Struthio camelus: one gene and its partners. The protein of the gene in region 1 purifies or fractionates together with the protein of each later gene. This does not show direct contact. Links are inferred from orthologs where the notes say so. Each region holds a gene or a part of one and is shown in the gene's direction. Other genes may lie near its edges. The genes, in order: IFT57, IFT80, IFT88 and IFT74.

Evidence for each region.
Region 2: the proteins of IFT57 (region 1) and IFT80 purify together in Homo sapiens (affinity purification with mass spectrometry; 3 studies listed by BioGRID and IntAct, counting the BioPlex papers as one, with this or other methods). This does not show direct contact. The link is inferred for Struthio camelus from reciprocal best matches to the Homo sapiens genes IFT57 and IFT80.
Region 3: the proteins of IFT57 (region 1) and IFT88 purify together in Homo sapiens (affinity purification with mass spectrometry; 3 studies listed by BioGRID and IntAct, counting the BioPlex papers as one, with this or other methods). This does not show direct contact. The link is inferred for Struthio camelus from reciprocal best matches to the Homo sapiens genes IFT57 and IFT88.
Region 4: the proteins of IFT57 (region 1) and IFT74 purify together in Homo sapiens (affinity purification with mass spectrometry; 3 studies listed by BioGRID and IntAct, counting the BioPlex papers as one, with this or other methods). This does not show direct contact. The link is inferred for Struthio camelus from reciprocal best matches to the Homo sapiens genes IFT57 and IFT74.

Annotation. Positions count from the first base shown.
Region 1 is NC_090942.1:101,228,883-101,236,079, reverse strand, and holds the start of IFT57 (intraflagellar transport protein 57 homolog), read left to right. Parts: upstream 1-4,178; 5' UTR 4,179-4,198; coding exon 4,199-4,389; intron 4,390-4,643; exon of another isoform or gene 4,644-4,712; intron 4,713-7,197. UniProt on the Homo sapiens protein: Required for the formation of cilia. Plays an indirect role in sonic hedgehog signaling, cilia being required for all activity of the hedgehog pathway.
Region 2 is NC_090950.1:31,179,360-31,186,187, forward strand, and holds the start of IFT80 (intraflagellar transport protein 80 homolog), read left to right. Parts: upstream 1-3,822; 5' UTR 3,823-4,038; intron 4,039-4,574; 5' UTR 4,575-4,719; exon of another isoform or gene 4,720-4,741; intron 4,742-6,300; 5' UTR 6,301-6,351; coding exon 6,352-6,388; intron 6,389-6,828. Other genes in the region: SMC4 (structural maintenance of chromosomes protein 4), read right to left, coding at 779-905.
Region 3 is NC_090942.1:203,815,891-203,822,716, reverse strand, and holds the start of IFT88 (intraflagellar transport protein 88 homolog), read left to right. Parts: upstream 1-3,818; 5' UTR 3,819-3,976; intron 3,977-5,061; 5' UTR 5,062-5,067; coding exon 5,068-5,157; intron 5,158-5,753; coding exon 5,754-5,816; intron 5,817-6,519; coding exon 6,520-6,576; intron 6,577-6,826. UniProt on the Homo sapiens protein: Positively regulates primary cilium biogenesis. Also involved in autophagy since it is required for trafficking of ATG16L and the expansion of the autophagic compartment.
Region 4 is NC_090982.1:5,382,938-5,390,068, reverse strand, and holds the start of IFT74 (intraflagellar transport protein 74 homolog), read left to right. Parts: upstream 1-4,118; 5' UTR 4,119-4,120; coding exon 4,121-4,228; intron 4,229-4,244; exon of another isoform or gene 4,245-4,507; intron 4,508-4,511; exon of another isoform or gene 4,512-4,538; intron 4,539-4,713; coding exon 4,714-4,854; intron 4,855-5,305; coding exon 5,306-5,441; intron 5,442-5,961; coding exon 5,962-6,010; intron 6,011-6,869; coding exon 6,870-6,968; intron 6,969-7,130; coding exon 7,131-7,131. Other genes in the region: PLAA (phospholipase A-2-activating protein), read right to left, coding at 80-180, 1,776-1,823, 3,974-4,073. UniProt on the Homo sapiens protein: Component of the intraflagellar transport (IFT) complex B: together with IFT81, forms a tubulin-binding module that specifically mediates transport of tubulin within the cilium. Binds beta-tubulin via its basic region. Required for ciliogenesis.

The DNA of each region.
Region 1 (7,197 bases):
GCTAACATCAGCCTTCTTTTCCCTTTGCATTTGCAAGTGGTGTGCATCATGTTTTCCTGATCAACACCTTTGCCCGCTTGTCCCTCACCTCCAGACTTGATTAATGCGATAGATAGGTCATGCTTGATGCTTGAACTTTAGGAACTGGAGTCAATGCTAACTTTCCTTCAGTAAGCAACCTGACACGTTATTAACAGAGAGCTTGTGCAGTTTGGCAGTGATGCTCGGGGAACAACACGGATCCAACGGTACCTCTGCACTGCCTTTGTGGCCTGCATCTGGCTCACCTGTTCTAACTGCACTCTGTAGTGCTGTAGTACAATACAGCAGCGGAGCCAGTTCGCTGGAAATTTTCCCGTTTAGCACAGATCTTAGCTTTGGGTTTTCCCACTGTAGCATGTTGTAAGAAGAAAAGAGCAAGAGTACTAGTCACTAAAGCAGCTGAAGCCTTAGGCTGCAGCCAAGGCCAGCTGGAGCCTGTTTTTACAGAACAAGGAACATTTTAACAGTTGCAGGTAACAGTCACAGAGGTGACCTAAAGAAACCCCTCGCAGCAACAGAGAGTGCCAGCGGACCACAAGAAAGCGAGTAAGAGAAGTCGCGAGATGGGTTAATAGGAATCAGACTATGGCAGAGGGTGCTTGCGATCGGGTTGTAACCAGATTAATCAAACCAGGAGCCTGTGGGTGGAGTCCCTCCTTGGTGGCACCCAGCTGAAGCTGTACCTGTATTGTGCATAATAAACCACTTTTTTTGTTTAGAAAAATATTCACTGCTGAACTGGGAAAATAAGTAGAGACCTAGGGTTGAGCCAAAACAGTTGGAGGTGACAACTGAGTAATTCCTCCAGCAATTCTGGGTGGCAATTGCGTAATTCCCGCAACAGCCTTGAGAAAAAGGTTTGTTGCTGTAAGTTACAGAACAGCTTCCTTATAGCGATTAATTATGCTCTTAATGACTCTGAAATTTAGAAGAGAGACAGTACAGGAGGGTAGAATAGAAGGTGAACAGGGGAAAGACCATTCACTAGGTCCCCCAATGCTGAAACTAGGATGACACCAAACGAAATAAATACCATGGCTGAAGTGTAGAAACCGCTGCCATAGAAAGTTCTGGATGCCAAAATTCCTGTGGATTAGAAAATGGCTAAGCAAAATCCCACTAGTCCTTGCCTGATTTTTATTTTTGAGCAAAAAGAACCTCTACTCTAAGTCAGAAAGTCCTTCCGCCAGTGACAGCTGGGAGGGGGCATCAGGAAAATATGATTCACATCTGTCCCATTCTAGGTCTGTATAACCATGGTTGTCAAAAGAGGAGTTCTGAAAAATACAAGTTTTCAGTTAATTTCATTCAAAGCTAAAAACTAGCTCCCTGCACACTTGCCAATTTCTTTCTTCATACCAAAAGATTAATACCATTCCACCCTCTGCACTTCTACAGAAAATCTTGCAGATTGTAGGCTCTGGCAAATACGCTTTTCAAAATTTGGGGCCTTATAAATATGAGGTAAATATACGCTGATATTGAGAGTCCCACTGCAAGGTACCGAAGAAACAGTCTTCTTTTCACTACAGACCGAACTGGCATTACCAAGAAATCATATTCTGTATGTGGCTGTTTGGTGAAATACCAATACAAAATTATTTAAAAGAACAGCATTCAACAAGAATTAAGATCACTGTAGTAATGCGAGTTACTGCTGCTCCACTTTTCAGGGCTTATTTCATATAGAACAACCACAGACTCAATTTGATGGCAGAAGCTCAGCCAGGTTTTCTGACAGCAAGGCAAGGCACTAAAATGCTTGTCCCAAGAACACATACAGGTAGGTCAAGCACCAAACAGCTGAGATAGTGGCAGGGGCATCAGGAAACTTGTTTTGCCCACTGGAAAAAAAAAAAAAAAAAAAGAGACATCAAAAGGCAAAATTTTTTTTATTGGTCAGTGATCAAACCACATGCACCAGGTATTGTATCATGCAGTACTTTGCACTCCACCTGCACCTTGATCAAAAGCATTTACTTATCACAGAGATACTGGGACCAATCTCTGTTTAATAACCTTTTCTTGGTCACGTGCTTTTGGAGCGGCCACGCATATTGTAACATTCTCATAGCACTGTCAAAAGTTATTTATTCTTTAATAGAAAGGATTCTGATTTATTCCTTATCAAGGTAGCTGAACAACAGCACATTTCAAGCACACGCACCCTTGCGTGAACTGGAAATACAAGAGGATTTCGAGTTTTATAAACAAGTTTGTTTTCGAGCAAACAAACAAGACAATCAAACATGGAAAAGTTGAAAAAAAAAAAAAAAAACCACGTTAAGCACATACTGATAAAATCCTGTACTAGCCTTAACTTTCCAAAATTTTCCCACTAAATCTTCTGGAGCCATTTTAGGTAGTATCAATCCTCTGCCTTCCCCCAGCTAAAACTCTATGAGTTAACTCATAACTCCCGACGTGAGAAACGCTGAGAAACGCTCCGGCAGGAAGGCGGCTCCGGCATTCTAAACAGACAAACTTTTTTTTTTTTTTTTTGGGGGGAGAGAACCTACAATACTGGCTTTTACCTCAATATATGTGTCTAGCCCCCCTCCCGCCCATATACTTTTAACACTGGAGTTGTTAAAAGATTTAATATTTTTACCTCTTCTGGCTTCACAAGTAGCCCAGCAATTCAGAGTCCTGCCAGTTGTGTCAAGTAAGCCAGCTGTTTCTTAGAGACACATATAAACCGAACTGCTCCTCCAGAGACCTTTCTCCTCCAGAATGGTAGAAGTGCATTCTTTCCAACTTTTCTCATGGCCACACATACACTCACCAGACCTATATGAGCCGCAAGTTCACTCCTCTTCCACAACAGAGAGTAACTGTTTCTATACCAATCCTTTGGGAGTGCATGGGCGCAGTAGCATCAACGCCCTTCATAAAGGCCAAAGCTTCCACCCCTCGGCGCTCACTGCTTTTGCTCTTAACCACCTCTTTCGCCTAGCTCAATTGAACAAACATTGTAATAACGCAGGAAAAGCTGTAACTGAGTAATAAAAAAATATTAATTACGGCCAAAAACGTGGTTGCGCTAGCAGCGGCAACACTGCTTTGGGATTGCAATTGCGCATTGCCAGAGCACAAGCACTGTAGCCCCAGTAGAAAGACTGACAATACTCTTATTTTTATTAATGCATAATTTAGGAATCTCACTCGTGGATTAAGAGGTAAATTCTGTATAGACAGCGGACAAAAAGAACTTACAATCTTAAATATAAAACAAGATGCAAATCAGTACGACAGCGTTCTTGGAGAGCTGGTAATCTTAAAGGAGAACAGTACGCGCATCAGGCTGTCTTGCGGCATTAGATAACCGATTTCCTCTTCTCTTAGTAACTCACTAGTGCTTCATTTTCTCCGGGCAACCGAAGTCCCACAGTAGTTGGCTTCCAACAGAAGGAACCGATAGCACCACTGAAATTAACTAAATAAAAAGCAGGGGGAAAAAAGTGAAAGTTTCTTTTCTGCAAAAAAAAAAAAAAAACCCGAAACAAGCGTTAGCAGCAGGACTAACTAACTAACAACTGGTCTGCTGCTTTCCTCCAAGAACTGGCTTTCCCATCGCCTTTCCTTCACACCCCGCCAGCGAGGGCGGCCCCGCCAGCACGCCGTCTGTTACAGCGGATGCACAGCCCTAACCCCCTTCCACCGCAAGGCTCGGGGGTACCTCCAGCTGTGCACTACACACCCTCACTCCAGCCGCCAGCGCACACAGCTGCTACCTGCCATCAACACCTGGGGACTGCCTGACCGCCGCAGACGGCGGCCCGAGACCCGCCGAGGCAGCCCCCTGCTCCCGCGGCCACCTACTGGGGCAGAGGAAAGCGCGGCGCTTGGCCGTCGGTTAACGCGCCCGGGCTCACCGCAGAGGGGAACAAGCCACCCTCCCGACTAGCGGCCATGTCCGTCCCCCCCCCGCCGGGGCTCCGGCTCCCGCCGGTCCCCGCCGCCCCCTCGGTGCGCAGCCCCAAGCGACCACGGCGACGCTTTACGGTCCGTCCTCCCCACCCCCCCCACACCTCCTCCGCGGGGTGGGCGGGGCCGCAGCGCGCCCTAACGCAGCGCTGATTGGATGCGCCCGGCTCGCACTGGAGATTGGTGGAGCCGGTTGCCGCGGCAGCGGTGGGGGTGGGTTGCCGCCAAGATGGCGGAGGAGGTTGGGAGCGGTGGCGGCGGCGAGCAGCGGGGGGACGAGGCGGCGGCGGTGGTGGCGGAGCGGGGCCCGGGCGCGGCCTATCACATGTTTGTGCTGATGGAGGACGTGCTGGAGAAGCTGAAGCTGCTCACCTACGAGGAGGAGGCGCTGCGGCGTCACAACATGCGGCCGCTCTCCAGGTGCGGGCCCGAGGGCGCACCAGCGCCCAGCAGGGCCCGAGGAGCAGGGCGGGGGGAGCAGGGCAGGGGCTCTGCTGCTAGCGGCGCCCGCCATCTGCTCCTCCTCCTTCTCTTCCTTCTCCTCCTTCTGGTACGGGAAAACTGGGAAATTCCGCTGCCTGTGGGGAATTGGGGCCCAGTCCTGTCAGGGCGCACAGCTGGGGAGGGGAGGGGAACCGCTTCGGAAGCTCTCATGGCGTCCCCTGTGCCCTTACCGTGTGCTGTCACTGGAGGCAAAGGCTTCAGCGGCCGTCTGTGCCGTGGGAGCAGGCGCCCCTTTGCGTTGCGGGCCCGGAGTTTGTGCGGGCACGTGGGAAGGGCTGGTGACTGGGGGCTTCACGAGTGCTGGCTGCTGCAGGCCAGTGGGCTATCATCTTGGTCGCGCTTGTGGTGCCCACGTCTCAAGTTTGGCTGGGTTAAGACTTAAACTGTAGGTGTTGGAGGCATAGCATGAAACTCTTGACTTAAAAGTTTGTAGCCTTCTTGGTTGCAGTGAAAAGCATCAAAACGTGACAACGAATATGCACATCAAAGATGCTAAATCCAGATGTTAGTAGAAAGAAATCCCAAAATCCCAAGTATTCTAATTCTTCTTTTTTTTCCCTTCCCCTCCTCTTTTTTTTTTTTTTAAATCTATTTAATTCCTCATTTTGGGCTATAGTAAACAGCCCCATAGATCTTGCAAGAAGTCTTCACATATCTCACATAAATGATACCACCGGGTTTGGCGTCTTATTTAAGGCAAGATAACAATTATTGGAAGACAAAAATTATATTAGCAAAGCTGAACACATTCAACTTGATGGTTCTGGCTTTCTATGTTGGTTGTTATGTTTAAAATACACAATGTCAAGAGGCTGGCCTACAGATGTTTTTAAAGATGAAGAATTATTATTAAGATTGGTTTAAAAAACTGTTGTCTGTTCATAGCTGTGGCATATCACGGTTAACACTTTAGATTAAAAAAAAAATCCTGCTTTCAGTCAAGGTGGGAGTGCCTGTTGTAACAGCATATTTATAAAGACTTTTAAGGAGAATGAGGGAGATGGAGGACGTACACCAGAAGTTAGGACAGGAAGATGTGAGAATAAATACATTAAATGTAATAAAAATATAAAGCTTTTAAAAACTTACTTTTATGCTCTGTAGGGGAAAAGGAAAATAATTTAAATTTCTTTACTTGGTGATGACATTTAAAACTACAGTCATTTCATATCACCAGAGAACTTGTGATGATTTTTGTTAGAGCATGAGGTTCACTCATTGCATGGTCACTTTTTTCTGCAAGTATTTTGAATATCAGTTTTAGCACAAATGCTACTTGATTTTCCTGCTACTTACAGATGCAGGAAGAAACAAAAGCTGAAGGCCACAGTTGCTTTCATAGGCACAGTTGGTCACATAATGAATACAATACTGTGGTTTATGCTGTGGTTTCAGTGATAACTTGCAGTGAAAACATTATATTAGATCAAACAGCTCTTGTTAACTTCTGTTAGCACCTGAGTGTATTTTTTTTTTTTATTAGTCAGGGTAACTATTTGTGGGGTAGGTGTATTTGTGAGAGGCCTGGGACCCATTGTTGTTTTAAGTAAGTCTAACTTTCCATCTCTGGTGTATCTTTATTGCATATATAACAAAACTCTTTTTTTAAATGATGGCACCAGAGAGACGTTTAGGAAAAGGACTGATGTGACCGCAACATTCATCTGCCCCAATGACTTTCAAATCTATCAGACAGTTTCAGCTAGGTTTGATAGAAGTATATCAAACAGGTATATTTTCTAAAACCAGCAGTTGTTAGGGGAAAAAAGTAGTCCAAATTAGTCTCTTGTTAAGAGAGAGTCTAGAGTATGAGCTCAGCTTTTATAAGCTGTTTTTAGGCAGCTGTCTGACCATCAGTATATTTTGGGGAAGGAAACGGACACAGGCTTTGTCTGCTTTAGTGAGTGACCGTATCGTAAAGGGAAACAGTTGATTCTGCGTAACTGGTGCCCACGCTACATGCATTTTGCGGGACTAACTGTAGTCTGATCGTGTGGACTGAATTGTTCCAGCCCACGAAACGCGCTCTTGGACCACATCTTTCAATTTACCTTCATCCAGAATAAGCCTAGTTTGTATACCCGCTCTGTAATGTGACCCAAAGCACAGTAGGTGGGGGGGATAGCGGAAGAAACACTTCAAAAGCATGCTTGCGATCTGAGCTTATACGCTTACTTAGCTACACCTTCTTGCTCACGTGGTAGTTGAGGGGCATGGGAAGGGGAAGAAGTTTGGGGGATTTTGAAATAAAAGGAGCTGGATGTATTGCTGTTGTCAGGAAGAGTCACTGGGGATGTTAAGGAAGGAACAGAAGGTAGAGTTACTGTGGTATAGGACAGTACGCGGACAGAGGTCACATCTCTAGGCAACCAGGCTTCGTGAAGTTTGTTCTCTCTTCCCCACAGAAGTGCCGTTCAAGTTGTCGTGCGGTCACTTGGAGGAATAAAATAATCTTTATATAACATGAGAGAGGATATTCATATGACCCAAATGCAGATACTTTTCTTTGAGCTGTTTGTCTAGACCCCTTTCACTAGGGAGAAATAAGTATTTCTGAAGCATTTTTCAACTTACTCTAAAGCAAATAAAAGGTAGATGAGACAAATCCACCCTGGCTTCCTGTGTCATGAGTACAAGCATAAAGCTTTAGCAGTAGATCATGTTCATGTCGTTTTTTTAGAGTAGGCTATTTGTGACAGTAGTTATGAGGCCATTTTGGTAACC
Region 2 (6,828 bases), on another chromosome or scaffold:
AAAGCCACATTTCAAGCGTGCTCACTGCAAGATTTGGGGATCGCTGCACAATGCTCTGAAAGCTGTAATGACAGCACAACTACTCTGCAAAGACAGGAAGTTTGTTACGAAAACAAACTGGCCCCCTGGATATCAACTACTTATAAGCAAAGCAGTCAGCAGTTACTAACAACTTTTTCTTCAAATAGACAGTACTTTGTCACAAATTTCAACATATTAACCCATTTGTCAAATACCTTGCTTTAATAATTACATAGCTGGTTAACTAAAGAGACACTAACTTCTGCTTTTCCAGACATTTTCAGCAAAAAGCTCAACTCAAAAAAACTTAAAAAAAAAAACAAAAACAAAAAAACCCTGCTTCACGAAAAAGAAAGTCAAATCGTTTTTAAGAGTTAAGTAAATAAACTTGACGTTTATTCCATTCCAAGAAATCCCATACCATTGGCTATGTATAAATTTGAAAAATCCGGCTGTTGTACCACAATCTTAAGTGCAATGTTACAGATTAGAAATCTCAAGTATAAGATTTATTAGAAAAAAGTCTACCAATTGCTTTTGCACTTGTACTAAAGGACCGGTCCAAATACTTTAACTCTTTGCAAGCCCTCTTTTCCATTTTAAAAAGTTTAAACTTGCCAAGACTCAAGGCTTTCAATATTCTAGAAGAGAAAGAACAGAGTACCTGGAATAGTTTGTAAATTCAACTGAACACCATTGCTCCACAGGCGCTATTGTCAAGTTTACGTGCCATCAGAATCATAATGTAGTAACCTACCTTGTGGAGGTACTTCACCAAGCTGTCCATCACCTTTGTCCACGTTCATGTCACTGGTGGACTCCTCTAAGGGCTCTCTGCCTTTTGCCTGGACTGCTGTAGAGGTTTTGGTGCTCTTGCTTGGCATGATTTCTGTTGGCTGTTCCCCTTCAATTCCAAGCAATCAAACCACTGAAGGGATCTATCTCCTTTGCTAACACAAACAAGAAAACCCCGTGATCTAAGCATTGAGCTACAATCCCCTAAGAAATATACCTATACGAATGTCCAGATGCTTGACTAATTCAGAAACCAAAGTCTAGATGTATTTTGAAGACAAAACTCTGAATTTGGAAGGAAAAAAAAAAAAAACACCCAAAGCTTAGTCTCATAAAAATAGATTTGAAAACATTCCCCCAAAACTGATGGACCTACCCTAATCGGTAGATACGGCATGAATTTACCTACTGAAAACCCATACAGCCATATTCAAAGCAGTTACTATGCTCAGAGAGAGCAACCCTGCTGCTGGGGGCAAAAGAGTTAAAGATACATTTGCAATAACAAACTGAGTAGCCATATGGCTATATCCTTCTGGAAGCACGCTTTACATACACCTTTCAGACTTGACACACATTTTATTTTCAACACTCCATGCTAATTATTAAGAAAAAAATACATAATTTAAGTAAAGTCTCAACTTTGGAGCAGTTTAGATCAATACCCTCACTTTGCAAAATACAACACAACCTCTACTGTTAGTGTTCAACATTTAACCGAGTAAGCGAAACAAAATACGTTAATCTAGTTCTGATGTTAAAGTTATCTGATCAAGAACGAAACCTTACAAAAGTCCATCAGCTGCCACTTAAGCACAGCTCCCAAAAAAGTGCAAATAGAAAGCAACCGATGAGAAGCAAGAGGACTGCAGGAGCGAAACTCTCCCCAAAGAGTTTAAACTGCAGCAAGTGGCGAATTCAGTTTGGAGAAAAACAGACATGAGAAAGTTTACTTCTCACAAGATAAAAAAAACTGACGTGGTTAGAAAGTCATCTTACAATTGGTGCCAATCATTTGACGTTTTCAGACCTACCCCCAACCCACACTCTCATGAGAGTCCTTCATTTGGGACAATGGGGGAGGGGGGAAATAAGAGAGAGGATTCGTTTTAAGGCAATTTGAGTCTATGCCCCTGTTAAGAAGTGTTCCGCAATGGCTGTCTCAAACAATTACAGTCTCTCAAAGTACCAGATTTTTTTTTCCAAAGCTTCTCCACTCAGAGTTGTGCAATATAGACCTATTTACCTTACCAACCCCTTTCCTCCGTATACGCCAACAAAATTAACAAGCGTAACTACTCGACTTCAACTTTTAAATTGTGATAGACCAGATATACAGACTCTCTAATAAACTTAACATATTCGTGTCGAGCCCCTCCCCCAAGTCAACTCAGAGGTGTTTGTTAAAAGCATCTCTCAATGATCTCCTGCCAAAGTGCCGTTTTTCTTGAGGGCTTGGCGAAAAGAAGAGTCAGAGACAGGCAGAAGGACTTCCTTATTAAAAGCTGATCAAATTTGATAGCGATAACCGATGTCAGTGAAATTTCCTTCTTTTTTTTTTTTTTTTAAATAATCAATCCGTCATTCTAAGGAATCCTACTGCACCTTTGTCCCGGTCTTAAGAAAATCCTTAGAGAGTTACAACGATTTAGCTTTCACGCCTCAGGCATAAAAGGAGTAGGCAGAGCTAGTTACGGAAGGGTCCTTGCTTCGTAAGCAGATTAAAATCGGGCGCCTGTATTTCGGGCACGCCGAAAACATATCACTTCCCCTTCATAGGTTGGTCTCCGATTAGCGGTCCGTAAGGATACAAGGGGAAAACCTGCTTTCTCCCCGACGCTCTCTCTTCCCCTCGCTCCTCACACGCATTTGCCGACACCCGCAGGGACAGAAACGCCGGCGGGGTTGGGGGGGGGGGGGGGAAGGGAAGCGGGCACCAAGCGGCGGGCGCCCCTCAACAAGAGCCCCGCGCAGGGCAGCCCCGACGGCGGGCCAAGGGGCTGCCGCCGCCTTTTGCCCGCTCAGGGTGGGGTGAGGGGAAGGAGGAGGAGGAGAAAGGAAGAATAAGGCACGGGGCAAAAGAGCCCGCCACCGCCCTCCGCAGCACCGTCTGCGCGGGGAAACTTGCTGCTCGCTCCGGGGAAATTTCCCGACGGCGGCTCCGCTTGCGGCGAAGGAAGGCGCTCACCACCACCACCACCTTCCCCCCCCCCACCGCCGCCGCCGCCACCTCCCCCGGCTCCACCTGCCCTCCGGCGGCTCTTACCCGAAAGCCCTGCCTCGCAAAACCGCCCCGACTGCTCCCGCCGAGCTGGTACCTGCGAGGACGGGCAGCGCCCGGCCGCGGGCCGGGCGGCGGGGGGGCGGCAGCGGGCGGCGGCGTTGGCGGTCCCGGCTCCCGCCGCGGCTTGGCGGCTTCCACACTCGAAAATGGCGCCCAAACGGCAAACTCGAACCGAAATTCGTTAGAAAGGCGCGGGGCATGCTGGGAAGGGAGGGGGCCGGCCTGCCGCGGGTTTGAACGCGGGGAGGAGGAGGGGAAAGAAGAAGGGGGAGGGGGGGGGGGAAAGCCCCGCTCCTGCGCCATCTTGTTTTCCGTTACTGCGCGGACACGGGGAGGGCTGAAAAAAACAACAAAAAAAAAAGCAAAATCAGTCCGTTCGCTTTTTTTTTTTGGTGGTGGTGGCGGGGAGGGGGGGAAAGGGAACAGGCTCTGTGGGGCAGCCACGTTGTTTTTTTGGCACCTGGGGGAGCGCGTCCGTATGTGGCGTAAAGAGGCTTATTTTAAATTTAATAGAAATAGGTCAGGGGGCGGCGCTCGGTTGCCGGGCGACGAGGCGCTGGGGGCCGCCGCGCGAACGGACGGTTTTTAAAAACGTGCAGAAAAAAAATTAAAAAAAATAGGAAAAAAATAATAATAAAAATAGCGCACGCTTCTAAAGCGGCGTGAACTAACGGGCGGCGCGGTGACGCCATGGAGTCGCGTCACCTGGTCCGGGGAGGGCCCGTGAGGTGGCGGTGGGGCGAGGAAGAGGAGAAGGAGGAGGGGAGGAAGAAGTCTCGCGGGAAGTAGCTATAGAGACCGAGCAGCTTCGCCGCGGCGGCGCCGGAGCTGCGACGGGGACGGGCGAGGCGGGAATCGCGTGGCAGCGGCAGCCGTTGGGGCTCGCGAGCCGCCACCACCGCCGGCGCCTCCCTCCCTCCGTCCCGCCGCTGCCTCAGGTAAAATAACGCGGCGGGGGCGGCGGGTCTGAGTCAGCGCCGCCACGGGGCGGCGGGTCGGGGGCGGCGGTAGGAGCGACGAAGCCCCCCCCCCCCGAGGGGAGCGGGCGCTGGGGCTGCGCTGGCACCGGCCTGGCGGCCGCGTGGCGGAAGGTCCCTCCTCGGGGAGGACGGGGAATTTTTGGGCCGCCTGGCGTGTTGCCGGCGGCGGCGGGGCTGGAAGCGCCGCGGACAGCTCCTGCCCCGAGGAAGCACCGCGTTACGTCCCGCTCTTCCTCCCGCGGCCTGTTTCCCCACCCGCTGCATCCACAGCCTTGCTCAACCTCCTGCCTGCCTCACGTTCCCCCCCCCCCCTTTTGTTTTTTTCCTTAAAACTCTCATGGAGCCGCTCCGGAGGAGAACTGGAGAGGAGACAACGTGGGACTGCGCTGTCAAAAAAAAAAAAAAAAAAGGAGGGGGGGCAAAACGGGCTTTGCGGGCGAAGGGAGGTGAGCCGAGCTCCTGGCGATGCCTCCAGCGCGGCCTCCTCCTTACAGCAGCATCTGCGGCTGGTGCGCTGGCGTTAAGCCCTGTTAGAGCGGCGGCGTCGACTGCGGGCGCCGAGGGAACGCGCTCCGAGCGGCGATAACCGGTGCGACTGTGTCCCCCCAGAAGGCTGCCTGTTTAACACGTAAAATAAGGGTGAGCCTTCCTTCTCCTTAAGGTACGCCCCAAGAGCGTTTAGAGCTGCGGTTTTCGAAAACCTGTTGTAAAATTCCCGTGGTGTCTTTGGGGATAAAAGAACGCGGAATCCACGTGAGACTTTTTTCAGGCTTTTTGGAGGCCTGCGTAGGGGGAGCGGAAGCTGACGGTAGCAGCCTGCCTGCTAAAACTCTAAATGAAAAATAAGCAATAAAAAATACCAAGCGGCCACTCAAAAAGTGCGTTTAGGCATGACGTGCGCAGAAAATAGAAGCGGGTAAGTAAGAGCCGCGCATCCAAATAAATGTGAGATACTCTGTTAAGCTGGAGTGATACCTGCGTTAAACTGAAGAAGACATATTTTAGTGCTGTTTTACTCCATATTTTTTTCTTTGCTGGGTACAGTCTTAAGGTTATGTTTGTAGAGTTTTTTCTAGCGTTCATGGTATGTAGACTAGCTCTTTAACTCACCGGTGGTAAGCTTTGTAGCGTGTGCTGAATAGCGATGTGGGTGCTAAGTGACACCATCACCACCATCTAGAAATCAAAGACATGATTCAAAGGCCGCTTTGAAAGTTCAACATAAACCCAGGCCCCTTTTAAGTGCCTTGATATTGAGGTCCTCACACATTTCTAGAGTAAGGGTAGGAGAAAGCAAGTAGACTTTCAAATATGAAAGATGTTGAAGTACTTAAAAATATGTTGTGTGCATTTTATCAGAATGAATGTAAAGTAGCGCTGAAAATAGCTTATTTTATCCTTTGGGCACAGAAAATTACATGTTTTAGGACTGTCTTCCTCTTAAGGCATCTTAAATTCTGCACAGTAACACATAGTAATTTCTATGCTGAAGAAATTCCAGAAGATCAGAAGGTCATGCTGGGCATCGTGATGCTGTCTTCAGAGTATACCACCTGCTCCGATCCTCTCCTCTTCACTTCTTTCCATCCTGAAGGGGGGGGGGGGAAAGAAGGTTTAACCTGGATCAGTGCCTCTCTCCTGTCCAGGCACAGACTCACAAAGGCCTCTGCTGTTACCAAAGGGAAGGAGAAGATGAGAGGGTGGGACCCAGTTGAACATCTTGTGGAATTACAGTGTTACAGCAAAACATCATGGAGGTTCCAAATACTTGTGGGTGAAAGAGGAAGATCATCATTTGGTCACAGCAGCGTTATTTTCATAGCATGGCTCTTTTCTCTAAATTTTCTTGTAATTCTCTGTTCAGGCATTTTAAGATGAAAATCACGTGAACGTTTGTGATTCCAGGTTTTCCCCAGCTACCTTCATGGCTGTCTGTCAGCACAAGAGAACTTCAGTGTTTCAACCTGTAATGTTTCAGCAAAATGCGGCTGACATTAGTTTTTCAACTTGCCTGGTGTGTTGATACTAAGCAGTCAGATATGTGTGCGGTCGTGTAGGAGAATTCAAGGAGAATTCCCTTAACATTCAGGTCCACGTTGGTGATTGTTGTGCCACAATACTCATGTAATATTATTTATTTCAAAACCTTTAATTTTGGTATTGCCATCTTCCTTTTTAATTTTTGCTACTTATATATGTGTTTATTTTGTTTTAATACAGTTATAACGTACCCAAAACATCTTTCTTTAATGCTCCATCTGAACAACTGAAATGAGACTGAAGACTTCACTTTTAAAGGAACCAAAACATATCCTTTCTCTCAGAATAAACCTTAGGACAGTACGTTAACTCTTTATAGCCTGTTTACTAGAAACATTTTCTTTAAATCATAAATGCCATAGTAAAATATTTGTAAATTGCATGTGGCTTTTTTTTTAATGTTACTGTTTTAGTGCCTCTTTTACAGGCAACGTTTCTGGAGATGTTGAACACTCTCATTGCAATACCCAGTGTTCTCTGCTTTTATCGACCTAGTTTGAGACCACTGGTGTTCAATACCCTGCAGAATTTGTCAATGTATTACTGGAAAGTTTTGAGGTTGAATTCTTTCCCACGTAGTAAATAGTATTTATGTATCTAATTGCATGCAGTAAGACACACACACGCACGCATACACTCGAGATATAAACAAAACTGTAATTTTTCTATTCTTAATAAATTAGATACTAACACAGTCTCATATATAAA
Region 3 (6,826 bases), about 100 Mb from region 1:
GCATGACACTGCAAAACTTCTGAACGTTTTGTTAGTCCAGAATTCAATACTAGAAAATTACTCACTTTCTAAAGTTTTCAATGGGAGCATTATTTTTTAAATCCAGACCATTTCCTAAAAACACATTAGGGCCTGACTAGCAAAACAGTTAAACTGAAAGAGCAAGGGTAAGGTACGCACTAGCAGTGATTATGACAAGCAGACTGTGGCCAGTAACTCTGAACCCAAATTATTAGCTGCTGGAACAGTTTTAGTCCTTACTTGCAATGTTACTGCTACAAAAAGATACCCACTCACCGTGCTTTTAAAGGCAAGGAAATGTCTACTGTTTAAAGAATATAGTTTCAGGGTCTCTTTAAACTGCCATAAATTTTCGCTGAAGAAACTAGATCAAGGACTTGACAGCTTGAAAGATAACGGGACAAAAATCCAATCGAATCCTCAGTTTGTTTCAGTTGCACAAACAGCTAACTTGATGCAAGGCAGAGGACAGACCCAGGGCAGGAATGAAGATCAGAAAGGTGAGAAAAGAGTGGGACAACCTCACTTAGTGATAGTGCTCACTTACTGTAACTTAAAGTGAGTAGGAATTTATACCATATAACTTTGCTTAGGCTATTTACTACTTCGCGGCAGTTTTGCATTCCAGGCTGTAGTCAGGATTTAGCCAAAGCCAGTGAAGTCAATTATATCATTTGGGTTTTTCCTTGTAGCATGATCTCATTAGAACATCTCTTAAATCAGGTCTAGTGAGAAAGGTCCAGTGTTGGCACAGAAGATCCTAATATTTCTGGGTCCTATGTTAAATCTTTATGCATTTATGTCTATTTATTCTATAATTCATAGGACATAAAACCGTTTGTAGATTGATACAGCTTTTAGAAGCATAGGAAAGGCCTGTTGGGACTCAAAGATGTTGTGAGGACTTCAGAAGCAGTACATAGACTGCAGGGCCTAATGAGGTGGACCAAGGAGGATTTGCAAGCTCCTGGCCCCAGGTGCGCACTAGGGCAATGTGGGCTACATGTGGCTGTGCCAGGGCCTGGAATCAACTGTCTATGCTATTAAATTGTTAAAATAGCCCCATCACAGTGTTAGATAATTATCATTCTCCTAAACAATTTCCAGTATGGTTTGGGATTCACAGCGGCCAGGGACCATTTCCTATAGCTGCTTTCAATGTGTCCACCCTATTTTGGAGGGGTAGGGAGTTTGATAATATGGCAATATGGTTGGGTTCCACTTGTGTCCTGCCACTCTTTCATGTACAAGGATAAATATAGATGCACTGACTCCTTAACATGGCCCCCTTCCCTCCAGTGCCCCAAATAATTGAATCGAAACATCACAACATGCTGGGCACCAGTATACCCAAGTTCTGGATATAGACAAGTGGCTCTTGCCACATTATGTATCTACTGCTCAGTTTGAATGTGTCTGAGGACAAACAGGTAATCTACAAGCCATAGTCTCAAATTTAAACGAGGAGCCACAGGTAGAAAAGGGAGACTGAACATGAATATATATGTTTTTTATGCTGAAGTTCATCATTTACGACAGGTTAGTCTCCTTAAAAATTCTCCCAGCTAAAGTCTGTTACTCTGCAAAATACTTGTTCTGCAAAAACTCCAGGTAAAAAATGTGTATGTCCAAAAGTGTCAGGTCTAGAGTTTCTGTGTGAAAGTGGTTCATGCATGGAACCTGAACAAGTTAATGCAAGAAGTGATAAAGTGTTAATACACTTTTGTTTTCTTTGTTTCTCTTGTTGGGAGCTGAAGTAGAAATACATTTCACTTATATCTTCTGTGCCTTATCTCTTATGAAAGGAATTGGAGGCTGCAAGAAGGTGAGTTCTGAGGTTGCATAACACTCACAAAACCTGATCATACAGAGGGTATTCTGACTGACCACTGCGTAGTGGCCTTATATCTTTCTTAGGCTATTAGCATAAGGCAGGGGTTCAGGTTACAGTCGGGCTCAAAGTTTTTTTATCTCTCAAAAATAATACAGAGTTCAGAGATCTCTCCTCTGTTCTCTCTGTTTTCCATTTATGGAAACAGCTATGGATCGCTACTTTCCCCAGAGTGTAATGATTTACTAATCAGCTGGAGAACCTGTCAGGTTCTCCATAACAGCCAACCAAGAGAAAGCAGTGAAAATAGTAGAAGAAATGAATCATCTTTTTTTCTTTGAAGACTTTACGAGCTTTAATTTTTTATTCAGTTTCAGAGATTATGGCAGATAGAAATCTTTATTCACTTTTTTAATTGGGACTTTTAGATCTGAGAGCAGATTTCTCACTTTATCTGAACACTGGTCTCCGAGACTCCACAACATCCGATGAGTCCTACGATGACTGTGGTGGAAGTCCGCCACCCATAGGTGTAGGCTGCAGGCTGAAAAAACATACGTTCCAGTGGAGCCCCATTGTACTCCAAAGGACACATAGTAGTCTGGAGCTAGAGAGAAGCACTTGCAAATGTCTAAAATGCCAGTATGGTGATGAGAGACGCGGAAGTATAAGACACCTGTGTGCGTCTCATTCATAGAGCAGGAGGTTTGGCAGCCGTTCAGGAAGCCGTTTACTTTACCATAGTGCTTTTCTCTTGCAAATAGCAAGTCTGTAGCATAAAATACCAGTTCTCACCACAGAACGATAGTAGGTTGGCTGTACTCTTGGGAAGACACAAAGAAATTTAAACTAGATGTAAGGATAAAACAATTGTTTTGGAAAGAGGAAGAGGGCAGATAAAAATAGGCAGCTAGGGTAAAAAGCTGATGAGAGGTTTTCAAGACCAGACTGGATAAAGCCCTGAGCAGTCTGGTCTGACCTCACAGCTGACCCTGCTTTGAAGTGCAGGTCGGACGAGAGACTTCCTGAGGTCCATCCCAACATGAATTATGCTAGGATCCTATAATCCTAACTTATGGAGGAGTCTAGATTTCTTTTGCCCGTTCTGTTGAATTTCAAATGCTCTCTGCTTAATGTTTCAAAAACATTAAGTCATTAATCCTAATAATCTGCCTTTTAGAGTAGATAAATATTATCCATATCTCTCAGATGGGTTTTTTTTTGCAGACACAGAATAGCAATGTCTAGCAGACAACTAAATTTGTTTGCATTTATTTTACTATTTATTGTTTTCCTTATCCCATGGACTACAGGTAGGCAGCCAGACAAGACTGCCGTCCTCTGCAGTGGTTTTCCATTCCTCTTCTGAAAGATGAGGAAAGCACAGGGAGAAGCAACTGTTGTTCATGCTTACATGGCGTGACGTGTTTTTGAATCCGTAGCACACAAGCTGCCCTTTTGGAAACATGCGTAACCTAACTCAGGAAATAGAGCTATTCACAAAATCAAGGGTATGCATACATGTTTGTGGGATCAGGTCAGAGTAAGTCCTAGAATGATCAAAAAGAAATCAAACTTAGTTCATATTTAGCTCTAGCTCAGCGTTCTGCACTGATTCATTTGAAAAAATCTGTCCCAAAGAGTTTAGCAGCAGTTATTTCCTGTCTGAAAGGTGGTCAGGGGGATTTCTGGGTTTGTGCCAGTTGCTCCCTTCAGTTGGGCTTTTGGGAGGGCAGAATTTTGTGGCTGTTTCATTTCAGCAACTGGGTGAGGGTTGGCTTTTTTTAACCCCAGGACTAAGCACGCCCCGGCAGAGGCAGAAGCCGCTCGGCGCTGAAGAGGCCCTGACAGGAAGCCGGCGGCGCGGGCTGACCCGCGGCCTCCCTTTCCCGCCGAGCTTTCCCGGACGGCAGCGACGCCCACGCGAGGGCAAAGGCGTCGGGGGCTGCTCTGCGTATGCGCCATCGCGGTGCGCACGCTCGACAGCAGCCGAGTGCTCGTATCTTAGCAACCAGCCGCGGTGCATTAGGGGATCGTGGTGGCTGGTATCTCCCTTGTCAACGCCGGCCGAGAGCGGGCGGCCTCCGCTGCGAGCGGCCGCGCCGCGCCGCGGAAGGGCAGCCGGTAGGCGACCGGCGAGCTAGGCCGCGGGCGGAGAGTGCGGCGGGGCACGGCGGAGGGCGGGCTGGTGTGGCAGCGTTGGTCCCCGGAGCTTCTTCGCCGGGGCGCGGCGATCCTGCGGCGTCGTTCCGCGCTGGGCGCTTGGGGCGGCTGGGCCCTCCCTCCGCCGTCCGCTGCCGCGGGCCCTGGCCGCGGGAACGCGCGAAGAGGAGCGATGCCGCCCTGCGCCGCGGGGGCGCCGCGCATGGCCCGGAGGGAGGCCCAGGGGTTGCGTGCTGCTGCTCGAGAGGAGCTGGCCCTCAGCGGGATGTGCGGCACTCTGGCTCGGGATCACTGTAGAGTGCCTGTGTTTCATACTACAAATGGAATCAAAAATTGTCACCTTCTTAAGTTCTTATGAAAGTAGGTAGCCAGGCAGAGAGACCTTAATAGTTCCTTCAGTGAGGAAAAGGCTGCAATGTAAACACAACCCTTAGTAGATGTCCGAAGTACCTCTGAAGAACGATATTGACAACTAGACTTCTTTAATTACAGTTTTTAAAAAGCTGGTTAAACTGAAATGACAGAATTGTGTGAAGAATTCTGCATACAGAGATTAGTTGCAGCCATGTTGGTATAAGGACACAGGTGAAGGAAGATGTGGAGCTGGAAGTGATATCTTTCATTAGACTACTATGGTTTGGTCTAATTAAAAGAAATAGCAAAACTCACAATTTGCTCAAAGCTGAATTATCTGAGAATGTAAAAGTACCATTATGAATACTATAATTACTTGTAGTGATCATTGGCATTTAATGATAAGATGAGTATGTCCGTTTAAAACTGCTGTTAAAATTTTGTCGTGACAATGGTGTAAGTGCTTGACAACCTGATTCTATTGGATGGTGCCCCTTAATATCATTGCTTTTTCAATAGAACCCTTTTTTTGGAATATATATATATATTTTTAATATCAAGGACAGCAGATATAAACCAAAATTAAATTGGAGCTTTTGAATTTGTAAACCTTGTTCCTGTCTATATTTTACATTTTTAAGGCATACATAATAATGCTCAGATAACATTTGGGTTGTTTAATGTTTTCACAGATAAAAATGATGCGAAATGTGCACCTGGCTCCAGAGGCAGATGAAGATGATCTTTATTCTGGATACAATGATTATAATCCCACTTTTGACACAGAGGTAAAAGTATTTGCTGTTTCCCACCTTCCCTTTGAATAGGATTAGTTTTTAATTTCAAGATAAGAATATGTAGGTACACTTATGTGCAAGTGTACTGCTGCTTTGAAGTCTGTTTTTCTTCATTTAGCAAGAAATACTAAATGGAGTGGAGTCCCTCTCCCCTCAGGTCTCTGTACGATCAATAATGCGTCTGGGATGATGTCTTAATATATTGGCATGACATGGATATTAATGTCAGTTAAAATTTAAAAACAGTGCTAATAATAAGCTTATGGACAGGAAAAAAAGTTCTACGCATGCTAAATTTTATCACTTAAGCTCTTCTTCATCATAGGATGTTACTGCTTTTCAGGGGATAATAAGTTTTTTACATTTCTCCCTAAAATGTAAAATATCAAAAGAGATAGGGCAAATAATGTAATCGTTACCTATTTGCAATACAACCTATCATTCAGTTGTATGCAGGTGAAGTATTTTTGAAGAATGATTATCTTTTACCTATCTGTTTTCAATAGTCCTAATAATTTGGAAATGTGGCTTTGAGTGCTGTGCTTTATGGGGTTAGAGGGTTGTTCTTTTTCTTTTTCTTTTTTCAGGATTTAGAAAATGATATAGCTTTTCAACAGGCAGTGAGAACAAGTCATGGTAGAAGACCCCCTGTAAGTATATTTTTAAATATGTCCAAATAGCACAGAAGTTCTCTGGAGCCCTAGCTCTATTTTTGGCTCTGATACACTTTTTTTTTTTTTTCCTGGTCTATTGCTAACATGAAGATACAAGCTTCAGTTATATGAAAAATAAGTAAAAATTAGCAGAGCACCGCTTCCATTATGCTCTGGAGTTAGGCTAGCAAGGAATTTTGTTTGGAAAAGTATGTTCTTGTTTGAGGAAATGAGTTAAAGGCTTGTTAAAGAGCAAAACGAGGTTCTGGAAGGACTTTCTGTTTAATATTCTATTCACAGAGGTGCTAGTCTTGATAGGTAACCTTAATGATAAGAAACTATAAAGTCTCATTCACAAAAACAGTTGTTCTGATTATTTTTCCTCCATTTCCACACAATTTACATTTATTTGCTTGCATTAGTTTTGCTGTGACTTAAATTTTACATAATTTTTCTAAAGAAATATAAAGTTAGCATGTGCACTGTGCTTGGAATATATGTTTTTTGTCTAAAGAAGAGCTGAAACTATTCTGATTAATGTTATTTATTCACAGAACAACGTGGTTCTACAGTGATATTCCTTTCTGTAACAATTTTTTAAGCACAATTATTTCTATGAATTCACTTCATAATTATTAGTCTTTTTATGTTGTCCGTTACACATGTGATTGCTTACTATTTTTTTTTTTTCTTCACCCAGATGACAGCCAAAATTCCTGGTACATCAGCTGCAAGACCTGTAGCTACTGCATTTGGGGTAAGTTTTTGTTCGCTGTTACAGATATTCTTAATGACAGTGAGGTGTTTGCCTTAAATATGAGCGCCGTTTAGTCCTTTGCATAAAATGATCTCCTTTTATCTTGGCATCTTCCTCCAGTGAGTTACATTTCTTGTTACTTTTGTAAGTGCACAACTCTTTACTTGGTCAAGGCATGGCTACTGATGTTTTTTCTCCCAAAGCATACCATGAATGAACTTCTCTGCTGTGTAGGGCTGTAGATTTCAAA
Region 4 (7,131 bases), on another chromosome or scaffold:
AAAAACCAACATTGTTGATTTCTGTTGACAAAATTAAATTCATAAAGCATCTGTTTAATACTCACGCAGAACTTCATACCTGTAATGTCATCATACATCTGTCATTCAACCACACTTTGGCTGTTGTATCCCATGATCCACTTAGTAACGTGCCAAATTTCCCGGATGAAAGGCTGCAAACTGAAATGAAGGTGCCAATCAACACTGATATGTTTCCTGCATTATCAGCAATCTTAGACTTGTAATTTAAGCAGATTCATTTAAGGAGATTTAGTTCTATTAGCAGCGTTCTATTTAGCAGCTAAATTTCTCTTAGCACCCATTCTTTCCTCCTTTAATTAAGAATAAGTTGACAAGCAGGGCAAAAAAATCAGTCAAGACAGAGAATTAATACAACAATTTCCTTGTAAGATTAATGAGAAAGCCAAGATTTTGTCAATTTGTGTTAATTTATGTCCTCAGGAAACAAGACTTCATAGCAAAGTATTCAACTCATCTTCTTGGAAGGCAAAATACTTTACTGAGAAATAGTGCTTAAATTCAAAGATTTATTTAACAAATAATAATCTGCAAATGCTCCAGTAATACGCTGCTATAAAACCGCTATAGTGCTAAATAAAGTTCTAATAACCAATAACTTCACAAAAGCAGTTAAATCATGAGCAGAGTATATGGTCCACCCGACTTTCATAAAAGAAGAGTACAGCCTTCTGTGTCTTGCTTCTGTGATGCAGTAGTGAGAACTGGATCGTATTCCAGCCTTGTCATCAAACAAAATAATTATTCATGCCCTAGTTTTTCCCATTTCTAAAGTAGATTTATGATTAATCTGAGCTTCACAGTACTGTAAAAATTAATTTAATTATTTCTAAACATTTCATTGTTAGGTTGCAGGGGGCAGTACATAACCTCTTTAGAACACCCTCATCCCTTTTTACAACTCTGGGGGGAGCATGTCACATGTTCTGTTATTGACTCACCCCCATCCCAGCTTCCCATCCAAGTACATAAGCTATTTCTTGCCATCTTATATAATGATATAAGAAAGCAGAAAAAGAGTCCAAAACTTGAAATAATAAATTTTGCATTCTATAATTATGAGAATAGACCATTCAAAGGTGTATCAAATACTAGATCAGCTCACAAAAAAAGAATTTAGTATGCTAACATGAAAAATGCAGAATATTTTATTATATTGCTCAAGGAAGGGTACGTAATACCGTGTTAAACATCACATGCTGCATTGACCAGAATGAAGAGAGGGAAAATTTCTGCAATGTACTTTTAGACTTCATTACGTATCTAGAGCATCAACTAATATTAGATCCTCGTCTGAGTAACCAGAGAGTGAAAGTTTCTTTATCTGTTTAGGAAACTCACTCTTGCTACTGCTATCAGTTTAGATACAGAATTATGCTTAACAAAACACACGGCTTGTAGAGCAGACTAAATGGATTGCTTCTTAAACATGAAGCTCTTGACAAAATGAACATCATTCTGCTACGCCTGTAAGTTGGCATGTGATATAATATATAGAGAGTTTATACAGGAAAAGATCATACATTCATAGTGCAAACTAGGAAGTCATTGCGACTGACTGGAACTGCATGAACTGAAATTATAAAATCGTATTTGTAGAGACTGTAGTTAAACAGTTCAATATATTAAAATACCAGTGAATTCAACATACAGTTTTACAACTTCAACTTATTTTCCTCTCCAGCATATCATAAAAACTTTTATGCAACAAACTCTAAAACAAAATTACTACATACCTGTGTTTTTATGGCCCTTCAGGACATAAAGAGGAGCTGGGTTGTCAACTGTGAAAATGCAAATATTATGATCATTGCCACCAGTTGCAATCAGCCCACGAGGATACAGGTCACTTGGAGGTATGATGCACACACAAGATACAAAATTTGAGTGGCCACTCATACAGTGCATTTCAGTAAAACCCCTGTTAAGACTAAACATATGCGATAATCAGTTTAGAGTCATGACAGAAATTACTTATTTGAGGCACTGAAATATAACAGGTGTTTGACAATCCAATTCTTGAATTAATACTTATCCTTACAATGGGTTAAATAATACACTATGGATTACTTACAAAGATGATAATTTAAGAGAAAAATTTATTCTGAAAACCTAGCCCAATAAGCAATAGTTAAAGTTTTTCACTTATTTATCAAAAAGTGAGGGGCCTGGAAGGACGTAATTATATTTTTCCTGCTCATTGGCAAACACTATGGCCAATGTGACCAGAAGTAGTTGTAGCTACAATTTCTCTGTAAGAAATTCTTGGCTGTCTGAAGACAGAAATACTTATTCCAGTACACTGTAACAATAGCAGACTACGTAAATAGAGAAGAAAGCTTACTGACTGTAAAATCTATTCACTGGCTTTTAGTTATGAGCGCTATAGCAGATTAATAATTAATGGATTATAACTGATTCAAGTAGCACCCTTACTTCTCCATCTTGAGCCAGCCTCAGTAGGCAGAGCACTCAACAAGGGCAGGGGAGGAGGGAAGGGGAGGGAGAAGCGGTAATCTTCCCCACTTGATAAAGGTTTTATTTCAAAAAAACCATATACCATTTTACATTTTCATGTTTGCATTCTAAAGCTTGGAAGAGGTAGGGAGGCTGTGATATTTTTCTAAATTCTAAAATTTACCTTTCTGCCTTTTCTGCCAAAGCTATACAGAAAAAATGCAGGTAATGATGTACCTTCTGCTGAAATTTGAAGTATAAAAATAATGTATATAGTAGTTTGCTTATCTACTGAACCCTGTCTACTGTAATCCCACATCTTCAAAGCAGAAAGATGATCAATACCTACACTATGACTTTAAGTTACCTATATCTTCCTCTCACAACCCTCAAAAATGAGAGGTCAGAACTAAAGACTTCCTTTCTTGCAAAAAAATTTTAAGCAATTTAAAAACTTTTTCCTTTAGTGAGGTACAATCCAACAGCATGTAGCAAATTATTATTCCTCACTCTTAACTGCAGAGCAGCATACATCCACTTAATAAAAACGTATGCAAGCATGCCAATTATCTCTGCTTCACAAGAAAGGCAGCGTAAAGAACACGCACGCCTGGCAACTTCAGCATACAGTAACCTGTATCTCCACCATCTCACATCCACACTGCTTAGCAGTACCTCTTCTGATCATAAAGACACACTGAAAAATTCACTAAACGACTGGCAAATCCGCTTGCAAACCACACTGTGTAGCAAGAATATGAGACAAAATAACAGATTTCCTTTCTATTCCACTGTCTTGGCCTATTTGTGCTTTGTCTGTAGTTTCATTCATGTTTCATTTCATGTTCTTAGAAATCTGTTCAGCAAGAGGACTAAAGACTTTTCGTAAAACATTTTAAATACAGTGCCCTATTATCCATATAGGAATAGTTTTACATAGTAAAATTACTTTGACATTGAGTAGAGGGAGATGAAACCGACACCGAACATCACCTAGAAAGCAATGCTACATTCACAGAGATTACCAGCTTGCATAAAGAATACTGAAACGTCGAAATACAGCCCATGGTTGGGCAAACACCACGTTCCCCAAAAGATGGCCTGCTCTGGGGGAAAAAAAGCACCACGGCCATCCACAAACCTGACGGCTCACCCTGAACTCCTGACAAAAACACTAGTCAAAAAAAATCACTACCGCCGCGCACAAGCCAGGCGCATCTCCCCCCCTCCCCCCCACCCCCGCCGCAGCCGATGAAGCAAAGCGGTCCCAAGACCGGCAACGGCGGCTGCCAGCTGGGCAGTCCGCGCGGACCGGCATCGAGCTCCTGAGGGAGCAACCGCCGGGGCCCTCGCCGGGGCGGCAAGGCCCAGGGAAGGCACCTGCAGCTAAACCGTCGCCCCTTGCTCCCCCAGGCCCGGCCGCGGCGCGGCCCCCCTTGGCTCGGCGGCCAAGGCGGCGGCGCGGCCCAGCACTCACCCGTCGGGAGCCCAGAGCCGGGCAGTTCGGTCCCGGGACACGGAGACGAAACCACCCTGAGGGAAAAGGCCGCTGGTGAGGCCCCGCACGTCCTGACCATGCCCCGCCAGGGAGCAGCGGAGCCGGTACACACGGCCCTCGCCAGCCATGGCGGCGGCGCGCAGGAGGCCGACGAGGCGCTCTGACACAGCAACAATCTCCGCCGCCGCCGCTTCCGGAAACCGCCATCCACCGCGCCGGAAGAGGCGTCATCAGGCACGGGGGAGGGGGGGAGAAGGGCGTTAGACTCCATGTCCCAGCAGGGACCGCGCCACAGAGCGCAAGACGGGCAGGCGCGTGGCCGCCGCGGGGCCTCTGGGAGTTGTAGTCTTCACGGGTAGCTTGGGAGCGCGTCCTCCCCTCTCCCCTTGCAAGCGCCGTCCGGAACGAGATTTCTGAATCTCGCGATAGCAGGGAGCCGCGGTGGTTGGCCCGACGGTTGCTGCGATACCGGCGTCGTTGTCGGCGGAGGCTTAACGGCCGCTTGGGTGTCCGGTGAGGGCGAGGGGCCGTTGCTGCCTGCGGGGTATCTGTGTCCGCCCGGGCGGCCATGGCGGTCGCGGGTAGCGCGTAGTACCCGCGCCCCTCGGTGGCTGCTGGCTGTCCTTGGGTGCCGCCGCCCCTCTGCCTCTAGCTCTTTTCTCTGGTACTTTTTAAGAATCACTGCAAATCAAAGCACTACTTATTATGCTTCTTTCTAGGAGCAAGTTCAGAAGGAAACAGATATGGCCAGCAACCACAGGCCTCCAACAGCACGTCCTTCTTCAAGAGGAGGAGTAGGGGTGACAGCAAGGCCTGCCTCTTCGTTAAGGACTCCATCCGCAACCAGAACAGGAACAGCGGTGTGTTAAAAAATTGAATGTTGACTTTGATGTATTTAGATTTTTAACCAGGTTTTGGTAATTTTTCATGAGACAAACCATGGGTACCGTGACTGGGTTGATAAGTTCTCAGGAAGAAATGTAGGTTTTCTTGCTTTGTAAGCTCTGTAACGTTGAGTGAGAGGGGCCGAGGAAGTCTTGCATCAAGAGTTCACCTGGTATATCTTAAAAGCAGCAATGTTTCAGATGGAAATAGCAGTGGACAGGTTGGTCAGTGGTAATCACTTACCTTCCTGCAGCTGGACACTTGACTAAAGCTTGTTTACTGGGATATGTACAAATACTGACAGATTCCTAGGCGAACAATCTAAAGTTTAAAGGAGTCTCACTGTTAAGGTTTAATTGATTTGACAGTTGCACAGGGATAAAAAATTCATAATTCTGAGTTGAGATTTTTTTTGTTTTTGTCTAGATGCCTCCTAGTACATCAAGACCTGGTTCTCGTGGTGGTTCTTCAAGTACTGGAGGAGTGTTGCCATCTCAGATTAAAGTTGCAGACCGTCCAGTGACACAACAGGGATTAAGTGGAATGAAAATGGGAATGAAAGGTATTTTTTACTAAAGACAGCTATCAGCATGTCTGAAATATTTTTAAAGTAATATTTAAAAGATTTTAGAGGAAAACCTTTTTTATTCCAGAGTGCAGAGTGAATAGCTATGACTGGCAGGAGAAAGAAAAGGGCGATTAACACATCCCTCCTTGGTTTTCTTTGTTTTTGGCAATCAGAAAAAAAGGCTTTTCTGTGTCTAAGCTTTGTTATGATGTTCATATCTCACTAAAAATCCTTAAAAAGAAGAGGAGGATATAAGCTTTATCTTCTTCCAGCACTGCAGAACAATAAAAAATATTTTGTTACGCAGCAAATTTCATATAGCTAATTGGGCAATGTATATCTCTACTGCAGTCTAAAATGAATTTCTGCCTTGCCCTCATTTATTTTAACCAGGTAAAATCATTTGAGAATACTAAGGATGTGGCAATTTACTGCTTGTAAGTACTGCAGATGGGTGTGTTTTCCCCCCCATAATTTACAGGTCATCAGAATATCATTTGCTCTCCTTTGACAGGTCCTCAGAGACAGATAATGGATAAAACCTATTATCTTGGACTGCTGAGGTATGTGTTAACAATGGAAGGCTTAGTGCGCTCGTCCCTTTTTGCTTTATTCCAAGGAATGAAATGCAGCAACGTGAAGTTAAGAGTTGTATTTAATGATAACATGGGATAAGTGGTGTTCATTTATGGTATTTCTAGTACAAGAGTTATGAAGGCTATTTTGGACATGCTTTTTAGGGGAGAGGAATTTTATGCTTGTGTCTAGATACAAGTAGATATTTTGGCCATTTTGTTGTTGGGCTTGTTAAGTTAAATGCACTCTCCGCAGTATTAGTAACATGAGCGTCAGACTTTTTGAGCTTACTCTGTGCCACCTGATAGGTCTGAAAGCTCCAGTTGTATGAAGCAGCATTTCAGATGACAGACTTTTTGGTGTATGCTTCTGTTTGGTTAGAGGCAGTCCTTGGATTATACGTTGAGCTAGCACTAAAAAAGGCAAGGCCATTGTGGAACTGTATTGCATATGCTGCTTTGTCACGTGATCACATTGCAATATTGAATGATCAGTCCTAAGAGAGGTTGTTTTTAAAAAGGGATCATAGCCATGTTCTGTGAAAAGATTCTGTGTTTTTTTGCCAATCAGCCTGAGAAGAATTCGTGTCTCTTTTAGTGATGGGGCAAAAAGCAAAACATTTTATTTCATATCCAAACATTCCGTTGATTGTCTCGGATTCTATCTGATAGAACTACTCTGCTTTTTTTCCTCATTTCTCCAGCTCTTCTTTCAAATAGCTGATTAGAAACATGATGCAGACCTACTGGTTGCACATAACTGATAATAAAGTACCACTGTCTCAACTATGTTTCAGTTGCACGTTTAAAATTGAATAATTCTTTTTTGTTTAATGCCTTTTTGCAGAAGCAAAATAAGTGACCTCACAGCAGAAATTAACAAGCTGCAAAAAGAAGTAGAAATGTACAACCAAGAGAATTCTGTCTATCTGTCGTATGAGAAAAGGTGAGATGTGTTGCAGCTAATGGAATTTTGGCTTTTTTCAGTCACAAGACTATATTCTAGGATACTGTGCAAGCTTTAGGGAACCATTAAATAATTATTTTATTTTATTTTAATATATGTAGTGCTTCCTTTTGTAAGTTTGGCTTTTTGTTTTGTGTTTAGG